3 linked regions of the Macaca fascicularis genome follow. The protein of the gene in region 1 interacts with the protein of each later gene in a biochemical or structural test. Links are inferred from orthologs where the notes say so. Each region holds a gene or a part of one and is shown on either strand. Other genes may lie near its edges.

Evidence for each region.
Region 2: the proteins of GRIP1 (region 1) and CARM1 form a complex in vitro, tested with the Homo sapiens proteins (2 studies listed by BioGRID). The link is inferred for Macaca fascicularis from reciprocal best matches to the Homo sapiens genes GRIP1 and CARM1.
Region 3: the proteins of GRIP1 (region 1) and THRA form a complex in vitro, tested with the Homo sapiens proteins (2 studies listed by BioGRID). The link is inferred for Macaca fascicularis from reciprocal best matches to the Homo sapiens genes GRIP1 and THRA.

Annotation. Positions count from the first base shown.
Region 1 is NC_088385.1:73,223,932-73,227,584, forward strand, and holds part of GRIP1 (glutamate receptor-interacting protein 1), read right to left. Parts: intron 2,595-3,653; coding exon 2,408-2,594; intron 1,820-2,407; coding exon 1,674-1,819; intron 1-1,673. UniProt on the Homo sapiens protein: May play a role as a localized scaffold for the assembly of a multiprotein signaling complex and as mediator of the trafficking of its binding partners at specific subcellular location in neurons.
Region 2 is NC_088393.1:11,470,261-11,473,913, reverse strand, and holds part of CARM1 (histone-arginine methyltransferase CARM1), read right to left. Parts: intron 849-3,653; coding exon 723-848; intron 1-722. UniProt on the Homo sapiens protein: Methylates (mono- and asymmetric dimethylation) the guanidino nitrogens of arginyl residues in several proteins involved in DNA packaging, transcription regulation, pre-mRNA splicing, and mRNA stability.
Region 3 is NC_088390.1:61,153,506-61,157,158, forward strand, and holds part of THRA (thyroid hormone receptor alpha), read left to right. Parts: intron 1-39; coding exon 40-187; intron 188-822; coding exon 823-1,028; intron 1,029-2,909; coding exon 2,910-3,056; intron 3,057-3,653.

The sequences.
Region 1 (3,653 bases):
CAATCACTGCTCACTGCAGCCTTGACCTCCAGGGCTCAAGTGATCCTTTCAACTCAGCCTCCTGAGCAGCTGGGATTACAGGCATGCACCACTATGCCAGGCTAACTTAAACAACTTTTTTTTCTTTTCTTTTTTTAAGAGATGAGGTCTTACTATATTTCCCAGGCTGGTTTTGAACTTCTGGGCTCAAGCGATCCTCCCACCTTGGCCTCGAAAGTGCTGGGGTTATAGGTGTAAGCCACCACACTGGCAATATTTGTTAATTTTTAAATTAACTTTCTATATGCTGCTATAATATAAGCTTCATATAAGTTTTTTAAAAAAATATAAGCTTTTTTTTACTTTCCTGTCTACTATTACATCTACATTGTGTAGGGGCATAACTGGCCCATGGTAAATAGTAAATATTTGTTGGAATAATGTGATCCCTGTGTCCACAAGCATATCTTTACTAACTGGTAAGGGTTATTGGGTCTGTGAGGTAGTCTTTCACTGTGTGAAGACAATTTTCTTAAATGGGAACTAGCACCAATCTCTAAAATCCACACACCTGTCAGGACTGACTATAACCAAACTTTAGTTTGGTTCCCTGGAGCCCTCTTCTTGACTATGCCTTGTTTTTGGGCTGGGAGCCCAATTTTAGCAAGAATCTGCTGAGTCAGTTTAGGGAGAATCCCCTTGGCCCTCCACCTTTGATATTTAATCAAGTTCCTTTTAGTAATTTTCCATTCAATGACTCCCCCATCTTCACTTTGTCTACTGGCTATAAACTCCCAACTGCCCTGGCTATATTTGGAGTTGGGTTCCATCTCTCTCCCCTACCACAATATTCTTTTTTTTTTTTTTTTTTTTTTTTTGAGATGGAGTTTTGCTTTCATTGCCCAGATTGCCCAGGCTGGAGTGCAGTGGCGCGATCTTGGCTCACTGCAACCTCTGCCTCCCGGGTTCACGCAATTCTCCGGCCTCAGCCTCCCAAGTAGCTGGGACTACAGGTGTCTGCCATCATGCCTGGCTAATTTTTTGTATTTTTAGTACAGACAGGGTTTCATCAAGTTGGCCAGGCTGGTCTCAAACTCCTGACCTCAGGTGACCCACTTGCCTCGGCCTCCCAAAGTGCTAGGATTAAAGGTGTGAGCCACCATTCCTGGCCTACTGCAATATTCTCGACCCCTACTGCAGTAGTCTCCAATAAAGTCTTCCTTGTCATTTTTAACAAGTATCTGCTGTCATTTCTCTTTAACATTAAAAACTATTTGCCAACTGGGCTTGTTTAAAAACACTTAGGGAATTTTCATTGCTCTCAAAAGAAGTTTCATGTGTTCTTTGCAGTGTGAAGGGTCAAAGAGAGGCTTTACTTGTCTCTGACTGAAGAATATGGTTTCTCTAGTATACAGAAGAATGAAAGAATGAAGGCCACATGATTTGTTTTTGTCGCCTCTGTAGTTGTGGCTATTATTCAATTTGTCACATTTATTTTCAGTTGTTCATGCGGTGACATTTTAAGGAATAATCGAAAACAATGCTCAATTCAAAACGACACGACACCCCAAACCTCCTAAACAAAAGCATGTTCAGCATATAAAACAGTAGTTTCCTCTCTGCCACATAACCAATATAATTCACATGCAGTCCACTCCTGACTCTGTCACTGACTTGCGATGATATGATTATACCTGCAACATCAAACTCGATTTCCAGTGTGACCTTGCTCGTGATTGAAGAGTCTCGGAGGAGCTGATTGGCTTCTTCGAAGGTGCTGTCTTCTGTTGGAATTCCATTGATGGCCATCACTCTGTCTCCAATCTGTAGCACCCCACATCTAATTTAGAACCACATGTGAGAGGTTGTAGATGGAGTAAATAATTACCAAGTTGAGCTTGTCAAATCTACCTTGCTTGATCCTTGCAAAATAGCATCATAATTTGGTCTTGCTTATTCAATGCTGTGGGCATCATATAGGTCAACTTCAACATCTTATGTTGTTGCATTTCATGGTTATAATTGTGAGCAGGGGAATCCTGAAGTATCCCAGAGAAGTAATTAATAATTCATAACCATAGTATTGTTAGAATCTGATCCAAACCAATATTTAGTAATGATGAATGTATATTCCCCAATGGCAGAAACTATTGAAGTTGAACTTCAGGATATGTTTTATTTATGAATTTTTCTCCTTTTTAATTAATATAGCTTCTAGTCCCTTGATGGACAAAATCTACTAGTTAAAGGCATCCATGCTCATTACTCTTTTCAAACCTGATCAAGAACATAGAATTTTATTGTCAGAAGAGGGTTCATCACATCTTGCATTTCCTACATTGAGCAATGTTTCATAATTCACTAGCCATTCAAAGATAGCAGGTACCAGAAACGCAGAGCAGAAAATGATGCTGTAAAAGAGTCTCACCTCTCTGCTGGGCTGTCAGCTTCGATATAGGAAATCAGAGGTGGAGAAGAGAGAGTTTCTGTGGCAAACACACTGCCCTGCAGTTGGATCCCAAATCCTGTGACAGGATCTGCCGTCAGCACAACCTCTGTGGTTTCTGTGTGAACAACCTGCCCAGCCAATCCCACTGTGCTGGAGGCTAAGGACACTAGAGGAACAAACAGAAAATACTGACTTTAGGTTGGAGCAAGCACCAGGAATACCAGCATTTCCAAAATAGATCGTGTCTCTGCATAAAAACTTAATGGCAAAGGTGGGAGGTTCAATTATGGCCTCTGGTTTAGCAAAAGTTGAAAAAGATAAGTGAATCTCTCAATATTCATCACATTTCAATAATAATATCAGTGTATCCCTGTACCCTGGCTCCCCACTCCTCAAACCAGGGATCATTGTGGGGGCTTTAAGAGGATGGCCTTAGGGTCAGGGTATGTGGGTTTTAGTACTGGCTCTATCACTGAACACCAGCTGGGGAACGTTGGGGTAGGCCATTTTGTGTCTCTGTGTGTCTACATCCTAAGAAAAAGGGAGTTGAGCTAGCTGGTCTCATGTTTTTTTCCACTTTAGCCATTTGCATCTGGGCTTTGTGACTTTTAAACAATCCTACCTTCAGCTTTGAAGAAATAATTAATCTAAATCTGACCCTTGGAGTGGTGAGGCTGTACTTTTCCTTAATCTAGTGTTGAATTGGCACGATGATGTTGTTTAAACTCTGTACATTCCTCCTGTCCCCTCAGAGTTTGTTCTCTTCAGCCTTGCTCTTTCCTACTGGGTCTCTAGTCTACGTTGTTGTATTTCATTTATTTCCTATTATTTATCCTATTTCATTTATCTCTCTGATATTCATCTACACCTTCCAGCAGATGTCTCCATCTTGTTTCCATTCCCAACTCATGAAAGGGCTGCTCCACTCCTCCATGCCTTTCTCTCAGCCCTGCCCACTGGAGCTGGGCCACCTGTGCTCTCTGTGAGCAGTCTCTGCCTGCAGGTCCTATGCTGCACTGCCTCTTCCTCCAGAAAGAGTCTGGCCCCCTTTAATTAAAACCTGATGACACCACATACCTCATAACCCTCTCCAAAAGCCATTTTTTTTTACTCTCTCTACAAATGGCAGGAAGACAGGTTCATAATTCTTGCTCTCCACATATGGTACATTGATTCAACTACTCCTATTTAAAATTCCATATTCTGTACTTATTTCTGCTCTGTC
Region 2 (3,653 bases), on another chromosome or scaffold:
GCTTCACACAGGTGGCCCTGAGGGCTCAGACTGCCTGAGGTACATCTGGGTCATTGCACAGCCTCCTTGAGACAAGGGGGAGGCTGGCAGTGGCTATGGGCAGGCAGCCTCCCCACCTCCAGCTGTCCCTGCACCAGCCCGTGTCAATCACTGGGCTCACTTCACCTCTCTGGTAAATCAAGCCTGAGGCGGGACCTTCAGACCGTCTCCAGCCCTGGGCATCCTCGACACCTCTACTGCCACTCCGGCTGCATCCACCTGGGGTTCTCCCATCCCTAGTCAGGAATCTTGTGTCTCCCTGTGCCCCCAAGGTGGGTCCGGTTAGGCCCCTCTGGTAGCTTCTCTGTGCCCTGAGCAAACTCTTCCTGCCCCTATGACCTCGTCTCACTCCATCCCCTAAACTTCAGTCACAGCTGGCCCAGACTGGCCACTGCCAGAAGGACTGGGCCCAGGTGGTCAGGATGGGCTTCTTGGAGGTGGGGACATAAAAGCCAAGCCCCACAAGACACGAAGGAGCTGGTGAGGGAGGGTCTGGGATCCAGCGTCTCCCCAGGCAGTGGAGTGTCCTCTGGACATATCTGCATGTGGGAATGCGGTTTGGAGGGCAGCGGAGCATTCTCAACGATGCATGGGCCACTCCTTAGCCAGGCTCCATGCCCCTGCCCACCAGGGCTCTGGGCGCTCTGGGCTGGTGTCACTGGAGTGGAAGCAGGGGCACGTACCGTTGGGTGTGGCGAACTGGATGAGGACGCTGTTGCAGCCCAGGGTGATGATGAAGGACTGCTTGCCCACGCGGCTACACTCTGTCTCTCGGGACACCGAGCACTTAAAGACACACACATCTTCATCTATGAAAGAAGATAGGCTGGCATGAGCAGTACAGCCCTGTCGGCTGCCTTCTTTTGATCCCGGGTCCCTGACGCCCTCCTGCTGCCTGCCGTTGGTGCCCCCAGATTCTTCCAGAGTGCCACAAAACCACCCTGGCAGCATTGCCGGGTGCGCTGCCTGCCCAGCCCACACTGAGGACAAGGGAGCGGCTGATCAGACAGCAGGGATACAGTCTGTGTCCTCAGGATGACCAGGGCTGAGACAGGGAGACGGTGAACGCTGAGGTGGGCAGACAGGGCCACCAGGCACGGTGCCAACCCACAGGGCCTCAGAGCTGGAGCTGCCTCTGCTCCACTCGGCTGAGCCCTTCTGTTCTTGGATGGGTGCAGTGCAGTGACTGCATGGGGCCAGTGTAGCCAGACCGCCGGGTTCACACCCCACCCATGCCATTTGTTCACTGTGACACAGGCAGGTCCCTCAGCCTCTCTGGAACTCGGGTTCTCACCGTCAGATGGGGCTAATGGCAGGGCAGTTGTCTAGTGAATTACGACACTGTCTCCCTGTACCCATCATGATAGCTGTTACTAGTCATTCATTCCACAAACCTGTGGCCATTCCACTCCAGCCAAATGGTGAAACTTAGCGATGCCAGGAACGGGCCGGCCCAATCAGGCACTGTGCCCCTGCCTGCCAGTGGGACAGGTGCATCATCTGTAGTATTCTTGGCAAAAATGTTTGACCTAGTCCCATCTTCAAGGGACAACAGAAAACTACAGGTTGTTGGGCAGGCTACAGGACAACCAGGCTGGTCTCCTCAAACAGGCCAGTGTCAGGAAAGACCAAAACGGTGGGAGCTATTCCAGAGTACAGGAGACAAGAAAGCGGGGAGTGCCCAATGCGATGCAAAGTGGGACCCTGGGCTGAAGCCGCAAGAAAAATGTTTTAAAAAGTTATAAAGGACAACTGGGGAGACCGGACCCACACCTCTAATCCCAGCACTTTGGGAGGCCAAGGCAGGAGGATCACTTGAACCCAGGAGTTGGAGATCAGACTGGGCAGCATAGCAAGACCCTGTCTACAAAAAAATTTTAAAATTAGGCAAGCGTGGTGGCGTGTGCCTGTTGTCTTAGGGACTCAGGAGGCCGAGATGGAAGGATCACTTGAGCCTGGGAGGTTGAGACTGCAATGAGCCATGACTGTGCCACTGCATTCCAGCCTGGGTGACAGAGCAAGACCCTGTCTCAAAAAAATAAATAAAGGACAACTGGGGAGCTGGACAGAGTAGCCCCCACCTGTGGTCCCAGCTACTTGGGAGGCTGAGGTGGGAGGATTGCTTGAGCCCAGGAGGTTGAGGCTGCAGTGAGCTATGATGGTGCCACTGTACTCTATCTAGTCTAGGCAACAGAAGTGAGATCCTACTTTAAAAAAAAAAAAAAAAAGACAACTAGGAAAATGTGAGTGTGGAATACATATGCCATAATTTTAAGTTACTTGGATGTGACAATGGCATTGCGGTTTTGTACAGAAATGCCTTTGTTCTTAGAAAACATATGTGGAAGGATTTATGGCAAATTCCCATGACATCAGCAGCTTGCTTTTCAATAGCCCATCACAACAACAACGTGAGTGCAAATGTGGCAAAAGTGTTCCCAATCACCCTGAATAGCCAAAACAATCTTGAAAAAGAATGAAGCTGGAGGATTCCCATGTCTCAATTTCAAATTTTACTATGAAGGTACAGTAATGTAAACAGTGTAGTGGTACTGGCAAAAGAATGGAGACACAGATCAATGGAACAGAATCAGAGTCCAGAAATAAACCCTTACACTTATCCTCAATTGATTTTTGACAAAGATTCCAAGAACATTCAATGGGGAAAGAATAGTGCCTTCAATAAACACTGCTAAGAAAACTGGATAACCACAGAGAAAAGAATGAAGTTAAACTCCTACCTCACACCATATACAAATAAAACAGAACTCAAATGGAGCAATGACCTAAACATAAGAGCTAAAACTAGAAAACTCTTAGGAGAACAATTTGCAAATCATCTATTGCTAAGTATTTAGTGTCCAGAATATATAAAAAAACTCTTTTAGGGTCAGGCCTGGTGGCTAACACCTGTAATCCCAGCATTGTGGGAGGCGGGCAGATCACTAGAACCCAGGAGTTTAAGACCAGCCTGGGCAACATGGTGAAATCCTGTCTCTACTAAAAATATATAAATATTAAGTCAGGTGTAGTGGCGTGTGCCTATAGTCCCAACTACTTGGGAGGCTGAGGTGGGAGAATCACCTGAGCCCAGGAAGTTGACACTGCAGCGAGCGGAGATGGCAACACTGCACTCTGGACTGGGTGACAAGAATAAGACCCTGTCTCAAAAAAAAAAAAAAAAAAAAAAAAAAGGTTGGGCACGGTGGCTCACACCTGTAATCCCAGCACTTTGGGAGGCCAAGGTGGGTGGATCACGAGGTCAAGAGATTGAGATCATCCTGGCTAACACGGTGAAATCCTGTCTCTACTAAAAATACAAAAAAATAATAAAATAAAATAAAATAAAATTGGCTGGGCACGGTGGCTCATGCCTGTAATCCCAGCACTTTGGGAGGTCAAGGCAGGCGGATCACGAGATCGAGACCATCCTGGCTAACATGGTGAAACCCTGTCTCTACTAAAAATACAAAAAATTAGCTGGGTGTGGTGCGGGTGCCTGTAGTCCCAGCTACTCGGGAGGCTGAGGCAGGAGAATCACTTGAACCTGGGAGGCAGAGCTTGCAGTGAGCCGAGAGCACGCCACTGCACTCCAGTCTGGGTGACAAAGCGAG
Region 3 (3,653 bases), on another chromosome or scaffold:
TGTCATGATCACAGCCTGCTCCATCTCCCCCTACCCCAGGGCTTCTTTCGCCGCACAATCCAGAAGAACCTCCATCCCACTTATTCCTGCAAATATGACAGCTGCTGTGTCATTGACAAGATCACCCGAAATCAGTGCCAGCTGTGCCGCTTCAAGAAGTGCATCGCCGTGGGCATGGCCATGGACTGTAAGGGGCCCGGGTGGGGGGAATAGAGCCAGGTGGCCTGGGGTGGGGATGAGTTCCAGGAGGGCAGCTCCCTTCCAGCGTGCCCTCAGGGCCCACAGGGCAGAGTGGCAATCCAGTCTAGGTCAGGCTGAGGGCAGAAGGTTCAGTGTCTTGGTTCCTGCTGCCCTTCTTCCTGCGTCAAAGGAAACAGGATCCCTGTGTGGGCCCCAGTGCCTACCTGCCTTACAACACTCGAGGGCCTTAGAGGAGTTGTTTGGTAGAAAGAGCTCCTGGGCACCCACTCTAGCACATTGTTCTTGACTCCCAGCGAAGGCACCCCACTCCTAGATGAGACAGGGCATTTTCCATTGGCTGGGGATTGGGTGGCAGGATCTTGGAGTAACCACCATCACCATAACCCGATAGACCAGAACATGATATTCATCTGGATCAGCCCAAACTGTTATTGACATGGTCCCGGGGATTAATCATGATCCAGGTTGTGCTGCCCAACTGCTAGGTGATTTGGGAAGTCACTTAGCCTCCATGGCCCTCGGTTTCCCTAACCTGTACTCTAGGAAGAATAGTTTCCGGGAGCATTATGGAAAGGGGATGGAGGGTGCCATGCATCGGACCTTGTGCCTATCTGTTGACAGTGGTTCTAGATGACTCGAAGCGGGTGGCCAAGCGTAAGCTGATTGAGCAGAACCGGGAGCGGCGGCGGAAGGAGGAGATGATCCGATCACTGCAGCAGCGACCAGAACCCACTCCTGAAGAGTGGGATCTGATCCACATTGCCACAGAGGCCCATCGCAGCACCAATGCCCAGGGCAGCCATTGGAAACAGAGGCGGAAATTCCTGGTAAGGAGAAAGGGGGCATGGGGAGAGCAGCAGCCAGGTGGCAGGGAGAGGAGAGTGAGCTCAGAGTCCTGTCTCCTCCAGGAAGTCTTCTTAGTGTAATCCAACCCAAAATACATACTCTTCCCACTTTTGCTGTCCAGATTTTATACACTTGCGTTTGTGTCCTTGCTGTCTGGACCCTGTCTACTCCATCCAATTGGGAGCTCCATGAGGACAGGGCCTTGCCTTCCTCATTGAATTTCCAGGGAGCAAGGGTGACCTTGCTTCTTTTTCCTGCCCCTAGTGACTGGGAGGAGAGGGTAAGGATACAGTTATGTCACAGTATTTTTGAGTGCCTGCTGGGTGCCAGGCATTGTGTTAGGCCCTGGTCAAGCTAGTGGCTAAGTAAATGATTAGTTCAGGACCAGATGCAATGGCTCGTGCCTGTAATCCCAGCAATTTGTGAGACCAAGGTGGGAGGATCGCTTGAGCCCAGGAGTTCATCTGGGTAACATACAGAGATCCCACCTCTATGAATAATTTTTTTTTTTTTGGTATGGAGTCTCACTCTCACCCAGGCTAGAGTGCAGTGGCATGATCTCGGCTCACCGCAACCTCTGCTTCCTGGGTTCAGCGATTCTGCCACCTTAGTCTCCTGAGTAGCTGGGATTACAGGCAGCCGCCACCATGTCTGGCTAATTTTTGTATTTTTAGTAGAGACAGGGTTTCACCATGTTGGCCAGGCCGGTCTTGAACTCCTGATCTCAAGTGATCTGCCTGCCTTGGCCTCCCAAAGTGCTGAGATTACAAGGTGTGAGCCACCATGCCTAGCCTCTACGAATAATTTTTTTTTTTTTTTTTTGAGATGGAGTTTTGCTCTTGTTGCCCAGGCTGAAATGCAGTGGCGCAATCTTGGTTTGCCGCAACCTCTATCTCCCAGCTTCAAGCGATTCTTCTGCCTCAACTTCCCAAATAGCTGGGATTACAGGCATGCGCCACCATGCCTGGCTAATTTTGTATTTTTAGTAGAGATGGTGTTTCTCTATGTTGGTCAGGCTTGTCTGGAACTCCCAACCTCAGGTAATCTGCCTGCCTTGGCCTCCCAAAGTGCTGGGATTACAAGTGTGAACTACTGTGCTCAGCCTCTCTACAGATAATTTTAAAATTAGCTGGGCATGGTGGTGTGTGCCTGTGGTCCCAGGTACTCGGGAGGCTGAGGCAGGAGGGTCCCCTAAGCCCAGGAGGTCGAGGCTGCAGTAAGCCATGATTATACCACTGCACTCCAGCCCAGGCAACAGAGCAAGACCCTCTCTCAAAAAAAAAGTGGTCGGTTTGGGAGGAGATGGACAGTTGACTCTGTGTGGTGAAGGAAGGCAGAAAACCAGCTCCTGGTTCATGGTGGAGCATGCCAGAGGGTGGCACAGTGCACTGTTAAGGGCATGGGCTCTGATTCCAAGCAGATGTATAACAGTCAGCAGTCAGACTGCCCAAGTTCAAACCCTGGTCCTACCACTTGCTGGTCATATGACTTTAACCTTATTACTTAGCTGCCCCGTGCCTTAGTTTCCACATCTGTGAAATGGTGATTATTATAATTATTCCTTTTAGGATTACGGTCAGGATGAAATAAGACATGTAAAACATGTAGCCTGATGCCTGATCATATATTAAGTATTTAGTCATTATAGCTGCTACTACTGTTGTTACCATTGTTATTATTAGCTGACTCTGGCTCTGGTCTATCCTCTGCTCAAGGTGAAGGAAAAGCTTTGGGGCTGGGACTCAGGCACTTGCGGCCCTTCTTCCCCAAGCTGCCTTGGAGCTCCCCCTGGTGGGCAGGCAGCCTCAGTGAGAGGCTGAAAGGGGTCTGCAGCCCCAGCTGACCCCTGTCTTTCTCTCTAGCCCGATGACATTGGCCAGTCACCCATCGTCTCCATGCCGGACGGAGACAAGGTGGACCTGGAAGCCTTCAGCGAGTTTACCAAGATCATCACCCCGGCCATCACCCGTGTGGTGGACTTTGCCAAAAAACTGCCCATGTTCTCCGAGGTGAGTGGCAGAAGGGAGGAGAGACGTGGTGCTGTGCTGGAGGGAAACCTTCTCCCCCGGTCACCCAGCACAGGCTCATCTGAGGCTCTCTGGACAAGGAGCAATTCCCGTAGGTCAACACACACTCAGCACACAGGCACACATGCAGACACAGACACAGACACACCTAGCACACAGATACATACACACACACACATATACACACATATACACATACACCCAGCACTCAGGCACACGTGCAGACACATACACAGACACACACACCTAGCACACAGATACATACACACACACACATATACACATACACCCAGCACTCAGGCACACGTGCAGACACATACACAGACACACACACCCAGCACACAGATACATACACAGACACACAGACACACACATGTATACATACACCCAGCACTCAGGCACACGTGCGGATACACACACCCAGCACACAGATACACACACAGACACACAGACACACACATATACACATACACCCAGCACTCAGGCACACGTGCAGATACATATGCAGACACACACACCTAGCACACAGATACACACACAGACACACAGACACACACATATACACATACACCCAGCACT